Linked DNA regions of Saccharomyces cerevisiae S288C. The gene in region 2 interacts genetically with the main gene of each other region. Each region holds a gene or a part of one and is shown on either strand. Other genes may lie near its edges.

Region 1 (3,640 bases), 630 kb from region 2:
GGAGGGCTTTTCAGAATGAAAAAAAAAAGAATGAAGAAAGAATTAACCAAAGAATGGAGGTTATGTGTAAGAAATGGCATTTATATATACATTTATATAAAAATGTATAAACATACTTGCATTATTGATGTCCCATAAGGGGTGAGAAAAGACAAAAATGGAAACAGGGGAAAAGAAGAAGAGTAAAAAAAGGATTATTTTAGGAGAGAAAGGGGATTAGAAGAACATCGGGCATAAACCTTTGAGCATCATCCTTTATTGATGTTTGACACCTTGCGATTGATGAAAAATATTGATGATATTAAGGTATTTCTGATAGCCACTGCCCCGTCCCTTGAAGCGGCCTTCCGTCGAGGCCTTGGCAACCGTGTCTGGGTGTGTGATATATTACATCAGAGGAAATAAAAGCTTGAGCGGCTAAACTCCCTTAGCTCAGGGGTGGTCTGGCCAGGAATTTTCAGTGGCCATTTTTCCTGTTCCGGGTCCGGCCAATCTGTGCCGGTTTTCTCTAGAGGAAAAAAAAAAGCATGCGGGGTAATGATGTAGAAGATATACAAGCGGGTTAAACTACATTAGTTATGAGTGCTAGAAAGCAAGCGAAGGATAATAGAAGAGGGCTATTCTATGTAAGTATGAGGAGACACAAATGGCGGCTTTTCATATTTTCTTCTGCAATTTCATATAGAAAAGGTGGTAGTCGTCCAGATCATAAACAATTTTGTCTAACTTGATGTAGTCGGGCAGTGACTCGTTGATGCTTAGTAGTTTTTGGAAGGATTGGTTCTGATAATTTTTGGTAAAAAAGGTCATCGAGAACTCTCTTGGTTGAAAAACGTTCAGAATATGTAGAAGAACGTCCAAGTTGTCTTGCTTCCCTTGGGAAATGTCAAATACGGGTATGTTACTTTCGAAAGAGGCGTAAGACCAACCCTTTTCCGGAGTCACGTGCAGGGTGTAATAGTATTTTTCAGCGAGAATCATATTGGATGAGTATCCACATGGCGTGAACGCAAATGCATCGTGGTGAAATGATAAATCGGAGTCTTGGGCCGAGTTGACATATATTTCGTCAAGCCTTGTATTTTTAGTCATTTGGTAGCCGAGGTTGTGGCCCTTATCTTCGTTTGGCTCCACGAGAGCGGTTGTGGATGCCTCAGGCCCGCAAACAAACTTACTAGCGCATTCTGGGTCCAGCTCCGTCATCAGTACTTCGAAAGTTTCGTCGTCATCCTCGATGTACTCCTTTCCCTTAGGTGTGGAGCGGTCCGTCTCGGTGACGTACAGGTTCCAGTGGTTGCTCTTGTCATTTCTTCCCACGGAATAACTTTTACCATTGTCGAAAAATTTGTTCAAATAGTCGACTTCGTCAGCCCAGTTTTGATGGATAGCGGCTTGCTTACAGGGGAAAAGGAAACATCGTCTAGAATAAAACACTTTAAATGGTTTGTACTTGCCCCCTTGTGTTGTGCGGAAAGCCCACGATAACTCTTGCTCAACGATCTGGAAAAGCTTTTCGAGACAGAACAATGTGGTTGTAGTACCGCACGTCTTCATCGTCAATTTGTGATCGAAGACGAAGAGGGAAGACTCACTCAACAAAAAGGCATCCAGTTCTTTAGTCTTCTTCATGGAAAGAACTTCGCATTTCACTAATTTCAAAATCTCGATCCATCTATCCATGCCAATATTTCTTAATGTCTTTTCGGTCGTGATGGACTTCTTGTGAGGGAAGAACCAGATTTCCAGCAACTTCTCGGGACCCTCGAACGCATCCGTTGAGTCTAAAGTGGCTGATAGTTCGTGGTCAATGTAGTTGTGGTTAGTCAATTCTTTTATGGTGACAGTCATTCTATGGTCCGCCTATTTGCGTAAGACACTATATGAAAACCTAAAAAATATAAAAAAGAAGCTACAGTACAGTAATTGATTAACCTGGAAGAAAAAAAAGAAAAAAAGAGTTGATGCAAGGAGCGAGCTGTAGCGAATACAATATATACACGTATAGATATGCAGAGATGCTTTTAGTCGATTAGCAAAGTTTATTCGATGCCTAAATACCGGAGAACCGTGTTTGGAATTTTTTTTCTTCGAGTGGAAAAAAGTGAAAATTTCCAAAGTCAATCATTGTGTACGTACGCTGAAATTGGATGCAGAAGAGGTAAAAGGCGAAGGAAAAGAGGGCGAGGGTAAAAAGCCTGATTGCCAAACCATGGTGCCCAATTTATTGGATATTACTACTGATGGAAGGCTACATATCTCTGGCGCTTTCTATCAGCTGTCATCGATTTGAAATTCTTCTAGCCCTAGGAACGCCATTATGGGGCTTATCCGGGTAGCCAGTTGGCGGTTTTAGTTTTTTCACTTCTTGATTTTTTTCTAGTTCGAAGAATTTTTTCCACTGATGATTGAGCTATAAAAGAGCCTGATTAAGATGAAGAGCTCCGATTCTCTTCGTTAACGGAGCATCAAACATGACGTTAGCGTCAAGTAACCTACGATATTTGTGCAACAGACATGATGGAGTACCCTCATGCTTTGGCGCGTGCGCATCTATATAAGGTTAGGGACTGCAAAAGAAGCGGCGAGGCAGCCCACATCAAGTGGAACTACACAGACTTCCTTGTCGCGATACTACGGTCCCAAGAGCAATCCTAACAAGCAATTACATATTCCCCCGCTGAACCTGTACAGTCCACGGATGGTGCAGAAGTTATATGATTTGGGGGAAGACGCTTTTTCACATCTTCTTGCATGATAAGAGTAGTAGTAACTAAGTAATATGATTCAGTCAGTCTCTAGTTAATATAATTAGGCATTACCCTACATTGTGGCGGCCTCTTTTTTATTTCGAATCGGGCCTTCCTTCCACCCCGGCCCCGGTTGCGTCGATCAGAAAATTATATTATGGATGAGGATGATGAAGGTGCTTAACCTTTACAGTCAAACTTTTAATAGTCAACCATTCACAAGGACTAGGAATTTGTCTCTGGAAACAGCTGGTTCCACAAAGAAGTACTTCCACGACATTGCTATATACTTGTGCTGGTATATTTTTCTTTGTTAGTTAAACCCCATTTTTATAAGCGTATCGTTTCGTATAGTGCCGTACTCAAAGATCAAGGATTAAAACGCTATTTCTTTTAAATCTGCTATGTCTGCTGCTCCTGTCCAAGACAAAGACACTCTGTCCAATGCCGAGCGTGCGAAGAACGTCAACGGGTTGCTTCAGGTGCTCATGGACATTAACACTCTGAACGGAGGGAGCTCCGACACTGCTGATAAGATAAGAATTCATGCCAAAAACTTCGAGGCAGCTTTGTTCGCAAAGAGCTCTTCAAAGAAAGAATACATGGACAGCATGAACGAAAAAGTTGCTGTCATGCGCAACACGTACAATACGAGGAAAAACGCCGTTACTGCTGCTGCCGCTAATAACAACATTAAACCCGTGGAACAGCACCATATTAACAACTTGAAAAATTCTGGCAACAGCGCCAATAATATGAATGTCAATATGAATCTAAACCCACAGATGTTCTTGAATCAGCAGGCTCAGGCAAGGCAACAGGTTGCGCAACAATTAAGAAATCAACAACAACAACAACAACAGCAGCAGCAGCAACAGAGGCGTCAATTGACT
Region 2 (3,757 bases):
TTGTTGTGCCTGTTGTGCCTGTTGCGCTTGTTGCGCCTGTTGTGCTTGGAATTGTGCCTGCTGCATCTGCGCCTGCTGGGGCATAGGAGAATTTATCTGCGAACCTGGCATCACATTTGAATCCTGTATGTTGTGTTCTTGTAATGATCGATTTTGCGGTTGAAGCTCGGAATTATTAAGGTTTAAGTTATTATGGTTTGAGTTATCTGGTTTCTCCGCAGCATTTTCTCCATTGTTTGCTGGTGTTGGTGAAAAATTAGTTGCATTTAATGAACCAACCGAAGATTGCCGTTGTGGTAGCATGTTATTACCACCATTGCTATTTAATGGCATCTGTGTTTGCATGATTGGTGATTGATGAGCAGAAGTGCTAAAGGTCTCATTTCCATTCAATTGCATATTCGGAGCTAAATGCGGGGAAGCAGAAGCAGAAATGTGCGAGGAAGCATTATTCGGCAGTTCTGCTTGATCTGAAGAATTTGGAACAATATTTTGCTGAGAACCTGAAATGCCTTGCTGTTGGCGTTGCATTTGTAATTCTTGTCGCTGCTTGGCAGCAAATTGCAACACTTTAGTCAAATAGATAAATTCCGGCACACTCGGAGCGTTCATTCCGTGTTCATTTCTCAAATGCTGCCATCTTAAATAGCAGCGGTTGACCTCTTCGTTGCTAAATTGACGCTGTGGTATGTTCATGGCAGATAATTAATCGAAAGTCGTGAAAATAGCAGAAAGTCGCGATTAGAGAAACAACAGAATAGCTGACCTTCCCGATGATTTATATACAAAAGGTCCACGTACGTCACAAATATCTTCTTTATTGAGACTAGAGGTAACCTTTCTTTTAACTTATTGTCCTACCGCCTCAGGATGGCCCCGTTTCGTCAATCAATTTGTTGATATTTGTCTTTCAAACGCGGTTTTAACATATCGCGAACAACGGTATTCGGGTAACAGCCTATCACTATTTTTACCGGCGGCTATTTTTCCTAAACCTAGTATATATACGCGAAAATTGGCTACCTGCAAAATTCCAATAGTGGCGAATGTATTGGAATTAATCTGCAAGGAAAATAAGCGTTAGGAACTTCAACTGTATTTTGCTCACTAATTCTTCTTCATCATGTCTTCTTCTTTTTTTTTCAATTACTTGTTAGTTCTTAGTGTCCTTATGTTCACTCAGAATAGCCATTAAGAATCGTGTCTTTTTGGAAGTGAAGGAGTTTCAATAAAAAGAAAAAAGCGAATATTTCAACACTGTGTTCTAAGAAAAGGCTCTATAGCTTTTTTTATTAGTTTTATTAATTTGAAAAATGCCTTGTTTGTTTTATATATATATATGTGTGTATTTAGGGCAGCCGCGGCCAACAGGGGGTATGGGTATGAAGAGGTGATAGAAGAGTGAAAAATGAAAAAAAATGGAAATCAAGGAAAGAGTAGTGAAAAAAAGAAAAAAAGGAAAAAAGGGCAAAAAGAGAACGCAATACCATAGAGTTGGAGGTGTTGGACTTGTGAATTTATTTTTGATTGAAAATAGTTCAGAGTCAATAGATTCTTCTTTAAAATAAAAAGGAGCCCAGACTTACTGATAGATCTTGCATATACTCCGGTAATGGATATTCCCTCTTCAAACCAAATTCAACATGGCCAAAGGAGTGAAAGGAACCGAAGAATGCCGAGGGCTTCTTTTTCTTCTACAGCCACTACTTCTACGGCGGCCACATTGACTTCCGCGATGGTACTGGATCAGAACAATTCGGAACCGTACGCAGGTGCAACATTCGAAGCCGTGCCAAGTTCTATTGTATCATTCCATCACCCTCATTCTTTTCAATCAAGCAACCTCCCAAGTCCGCATTCTTCAGGGAACCTAGAGCAGAGAGGCCGCCGATTGACTGAATCAGAGCCTTTAGTATTATCCTCGGCTGAACAGTCTCGAAGCTCTTCTAGAAACCCTTCTCATTTTCGATTTTTCACTCAGGAGCAAATATCCAATGCTGAAGGCGCTTCCACGTTAGAAAATACAGATTATGACATGGCCTGGGATGCCACCCCCGCTTATGAACAAGATAGAATCTATGGTACGGGCCTATCTTCCAGGCGTTCTTCTATTCGAAGTTTTTCCAGAGCATCATCTCTCTCAAATGCAAAGTCTTATGGATCTTTCAGTAAGAGGGGTCGCTCTGGTTCAAGGGCACCACAAAGGCTGGGAGAAAATTCTGACACTGGGTTCGTTTATCATTCCGCTACACATTCATCATCCAGTTTATCGAGATATACGACCAGAGAAAGAATTCCTATTGAACTAGAAAGTCAAACAGATGAAATACTAGAAGACGAGTCTTCTACACATTCTTTAGAATCTTCAGATAGTAGGCGATCTGCAAGCGAAAATAATAGAGGAAGCTTTTCTGGTCATGATGATGTTCATAATCAGCATAGCGAATATCTAAAACCTGACTATCATGAAAAGTTTTATCCACAGTATGCACCAAACTTGCATTACCAAAGGTTTTACATTGCGGAAGAGGATTTAGTTATTGGTATCGCTGCTTACCAGACCTCAAAATTCTGGTATATTATTTACAACCTGTGCTGCTTCTTGACTTTCGGATTAGTTTATCTTTTAACGAGATGGCTTCCCCATCTCAAAGTTAAATTATATGGCGTGAAAGTGCCATTGGCTAAAGCAGAATGGGTCGTGATAGAAAATGAGTTTGGTGAGTTTGTCATACAACCTATCGATCGACAGTGGTATAATAGACCATTAAGTACTGTTTTACCTTTTGAAAATTACCCTAATCCGTCATATGAACCAAATGATATCAATTTGAGCCACCACCATGCCAATGAAATTAATCCAAATGTGCCTATCTTGATCACATTTGAATACAGATATATTAAGTTCATATATTCACCGCTCGATGATCTCTTTAAAACTAACAATAACTGGATAGATCCTGACTGGGTGGATTTAAGTACCGTATCAAATGGTTTAACTAAGGGGGTTCAAGAAGATAGAGAACTTGCGTTTGGTAAAAATCAAATTAATTTGAGAATGAAAACTACTTCAGAAATTTTATTCAATGAAGTGTTGCATCCGTTTTATGTCTTTCAAGTATTTTCGATAATTTTGTGGGGCATTGATGAATACTACTACTACGCCGCATGCATTTTTTTGATTTCTGTACTGTCTATTTTTGATTCATTGAATGAACAGAAGAAAGTATCGAGAAACTTAGCTGAAATGTCGCACTTTCATTGTGACGTTCGTGTTTTGAGGGATAAGTTTTGGACAACGATAAGCTCATCAGAACTAGTTCCGGGCGATATATATGAAGTATCTGACCCAAATATAACAATATTGCCTTGTGACTCTATTCTTCTGTCCAGTGATTGTATAGTCAATGAATCCATGCTAACTGGTGAATCTGTGCCCGTTTCGAAATTTCCAGCTACGGAAGAAACAATGTACCAATTATGTGACGACTTCCAGAGCACCCAAATATCGAGTTTTGTTTCCAAATCCTTCTTGTATAATGGTACAAATATAATTAGAGCAAGAATTGCCCCCGGGCAAACCGCCGCTTTGGCGATGGTTGTAAGGACAGGATTCTCAACAACAAAGGGCTCCTTGGTTCGTTCCATGGTTTTCCCAAAACCAACTGGTTTTAAATTCTATAGAGATTCCTTTAAATATATTGGATTCATGTCATTAATCGCAATTTTCGGTTTTTGCGTCAGTTGCGTTCAGTTC
Region 3 (3,757 bases), on a different chromosome or scaffold from region 2:
TTCGTGACACCAATACCTATGATATCCCCATGCTTTTAATTGACACTTTCGTGAGCAATATTTCGTTCTTTTGCATCGACGACATTTTGCAAATTGTCTTGGAAAATCTTCCCATTTTCCGCACGAAAAATTGGCACACTGACGCACACCTAAGATCTCATTTTTTCGACATGAATTTCTCATGATGACAGAACTCCAATATATAACATCATGTGTATTTTCTGCGCTCACTGTATATTTTTCGACTAAGGGGAAGATGTTTACAACATTTGTTAGTACCTTGTTTTTGTAAACAATATTTGTTAATTCCTTTTTCATTTTATCGTAGCTCCAGCGCCTTTCAAAGTTATCAGATATTTTCTTCCTTAAATTAATTCTTTCCTTGTCTTTGCCATAGGCATTGTCGTCGCTAGGTTTCGGTACACGGTAGCGCTCAAACAAATTAAGAACGGGACAGTGGTTATTACATATTTCATTTTGTTCTTCTTGTTGACATCTGTTTGAGAGTTCTTCTAATTCTTTGAAAAATGGATCCATTTTGCTAGTATCTAGTGCCTTAACTTTGGAATTGTTTTCAGGATTTTTCGATAAATAAGGATATAATGAAGACAATTTTACAGTTACGTCTCTTTCTTGTTCTTCTAAGTCATTCTCTTCTGAGATTCTCTGTTTAATTTTGTAAGCCATACTTCTGAACGATAGGGATTCAACCAGCTCAACATTTTGAAGGGTTGATTTCATATATGTATACTTCGAAACAAAAGCTAATAACTGAAGCGACCATATAACGTCGTCTTGTTTGGGGACAATTCTTCCGAGAAAAAATTCACGTGGAGTGGAAATTGTAGGTCTATTAATGTCTGGTTGCGAAAAGAAATTCTTATGTGCATCAAAATTTTCACTTTCTACTTCACTATCAATATCAATGTCGTCGTCGTGTCTTTCCTGGTCAGGTTCAAAATTGCTAGCTAGGTCTGCAAACCGGCCCCATATATCACTAAAATCAGTTGGAATTGTCATAGACGGTGCCACTAATCGTTCGTTTAGAAAATTTTTGTCAGTTGACAACTTCAATTTATCCTGACCTGTAATGAACTCTATATACTGCTGATATGTTTCATTCTCATCTTTTCTCATGAATTTATACATTGTCTCCGTGGTTATCCCTTTGAAGTCAAAGGTCATTGTTTGATCTTTGATGAAGTCGTAATTTTTATGATATAGTAAATAGTTATCCAATACTGTGACCAGCACAGATAAGACCCCAGACATTACCACTTTTTTACGAATTTGTTCTGTCCCTCTAGTACCTGTCAATACTAAGCACTGAAATGTTAAAGTCCATTTCCAAGCGCATAGTGCTAGTCTTTTCTCCTTCCATAGATCCTTTATGTTTTCGTGCTCATTAAAATTTTCTAAATCCAAATCCAGCAACTCAAACAAACTTAAATGACAACTCCTCAATATTGAGACTAATCTTTCGAGAGCACCGTCGTTAGCTACCGTTTCCCTAACTTTTGATGAATTAGAGGTTAGATATGTTAAGTAGTTTAGGGAGTTTATTAACGGAATACTAGAGTTGATATCCAATGCCCTTCGGTCATAGACAGTAGATGTTATTGTTACTATAGGCTTGTTCGACGTTAATGATCGATGATTAGAGTCTCTCATTTCTTTACCTTTTCTTTGTTTTGAATATTTCAAATTACGTTCTATACGCTGTTATGATATGTTAATATAGCAAAAACAAACAAAAACTCCCAGGGAAATGAATTGAAAAATGCAACAAATAGGGACCTCACCTTTGTATAATGGAAGATTCCCAAGTTTCACTTATAGTTGATCAATGGGTATGATGAAATTAGCAAAGTAAAAAAGGGAATGTTTAATGGTTCAACTTAGATAAATGGAAGGTTGAATATGAGAACCAACAAAAATAAAAAATAAATAAAGTCTCAAATTATCTATATCGCTCTAATGAGGAAGTCACTGTGCACACTTACAGAAACTATATAAAAAACGGATATTTTTCTCTTCAGGTAGGGAAGTTTGTCCAGCACTTTCTTCCTTGTGAGCTGCTCTAGGTCTTTCGTTTGTATAGGCCGACCATCAATAACCCAACTCTCAAATTTTGCCACTGAACACCCATACAATACATAACCAAAGTATTCTAGTTGTTATCCTAGCTCGATGCATTGTTGTAGTAGGCCTAATAAGAAGATAGTTCAACCAAGAAAAATAGTCAAAAGGCTTTTTGCCGTTTGAACCATCATAAACTTATGGAAGCCATCTAAATAATTTTCCTTTTTCCTGGTTCCTTTCTATGTATCCAAAGATATATATTAAGTAGCCCACTTCTAGCCAACTTCTAGCCCACTTCTTAGGTAGTAACTATACGCAGCTGCTCCAGGAGGGAAAGAAAAAACCAACGGTCTATATTGTAATAACTATTAGTTTTCTTTCTCTTTCCGTGGGCTTCAACGGCCTTTATATAGCTCTTATTATTCGGAGTTGCTATTGGCGGCTAATATCTTGCGAAAAACGTGAGAATATGAACTTTAAAGTACACATGACTCGATTACTGATAACAAAATTGAGAGGGAAATACATAAGTCAAAATAATAAATGTCTGATGGACCATCTAACAGTTCACCTCGATCTACATATATTTCAATGCGAGAATGATTAATTCTTGCCATTGACAAACAACCCTTTTACTGCCAGCGCCTTTCATAACCATGTAGTTTTATATGCCTAATTATAATAAAGCATGACATATAATGCCAACCCCATATTTATATAGTTAACTTGAAACCGAGATTCATCTATTGCACCAGGAAAAGTGCCTTCTTCTTAAAACATAAGTTACGTCCCGACCATTCATCTAAACGGCATCAATCATTGCAGCAGAAGAAATAGTGTGTAGATGTCCTCGTTCGCTAGACGCAGTCAATGATAACAAGGTCTTTCTTCAAGCTGTCTTTCCATAAAAAGGTATCGCAAATGGGGTCACCAATGCGCCTTTTATTTTTCACGCCGAAAGAAAACTTAGTAGGTCCCTAGAAATGAATAAAGAGGTGATTCTGAGGTTCATTATAAGCCTTTGGTAAAACTTGAACCAAGAAAGATTAAAACACAAAGCCATGCCTATCAAAGAAACTGATAAAGAAGTTGTTTTGACTCATCCAGCTGATGAGACCACCAGCGTTCATATTCTAAAGTACGGTGCTACAGTTTATTCTTGGAAATTGAAATCTGAAGAACAGTTGTGGTTGTCTACTGCTGCTAAATTGGATGGTAGCAAACCTGTGAGAGGTGGTATACCTTTGGTCTTTCCTGTATTCGGGAAAAATAGCACCGATGAACATTTGAGTAAATTACCTCAACATGGTCTTGCAAGAAATTCTACTTGGGAGTTTTTGGGTCAAACTAAGGAAAACCCACCGACCGTACAATTTGGCTTGAAACCAGAAATTGCTAACCCAGAATTGACCAAATTGTGGCCAATGGATTATCTTTTGATTTTGACTGTTGAATTAGGCTCCGATTATTTGAAAACTGCCATAGAAGTAGAAAACACATCTAGTTCCAAGGAATTAAAGTTCAACTGGTTGTTCCATACATACTTCCGTATCGAAGATATTGAAGGAACAATGGTCTCTAATTTAGCTGGCATGAAACTTTATGACCAACTGTTGAAGGAATCCTACGTCGACAAGCACCCAGTCGTTACCTTCAATCAAGAAACCGATGTAAT

Evidence for each region.
Region 1: mutations in YPK9 (region 2) and SPE2 together harm fitness more than expected from each alone (negative genetic interaction), as found in Saccharomyces cerevisiae (2 studies listed by BioGRID).
Region 3: mutations in YPK9 (region 2) and MUB1 together harm fitness more than expected from each alone (negative genetic interaction), as found in Saccharomyces cerevisiae (2 studies listed by BioGRID).

Annotation. Positions count from the first base shown.
Region 1 is NC_001147.6:231,789-235,428, forward strand, and holds SPE2 (adenosylmethionine decarboxylase SPE2), read right to left. Parts: upstream 1,849-3,640; coding exon 658-1,848; downstream 1-657. Other genes in the region: GAL11 (Gal11p), read left to right, coding at 3,152-3,640.
Region 2 is NC_001147.6:859,563-863,319, forward strand, and holds the start of YPK9 (putative acid anhydride hydrolase), read left to right. Parts: upstream 1-1,612; coding exon 1,613-3,757. Other genes in the region: SWI/SNF catalytic subunit SNF2, read right to left, coding at 1-696. UniProt on the Saccharomyces cerevisiae protein: Vacuolar transporter which plays a role in sequestration of divalent heavy metal ions.
Region 3 is NC_001145.3:464,214-467,970, reverse strand, and holds the start of MUB1 (MYND-type zinc finger protein MUB1), read right to left. Parts: upstream 1,672-3,757; coding exon 1-1,671. Other genes in the region: YMR099C (glucose-6-phosphate 1-epimerase), read left to right, coding at 3,144-3,757. UniProt on the Saccharomyces cerevisiae protein: Involved in the determination of the onset of polarized growth. Required for the ubiquitin-dependent degradation of RPN4. Cooperates with UBR2 to transfer ubiquitin from RAD6 to RPN4.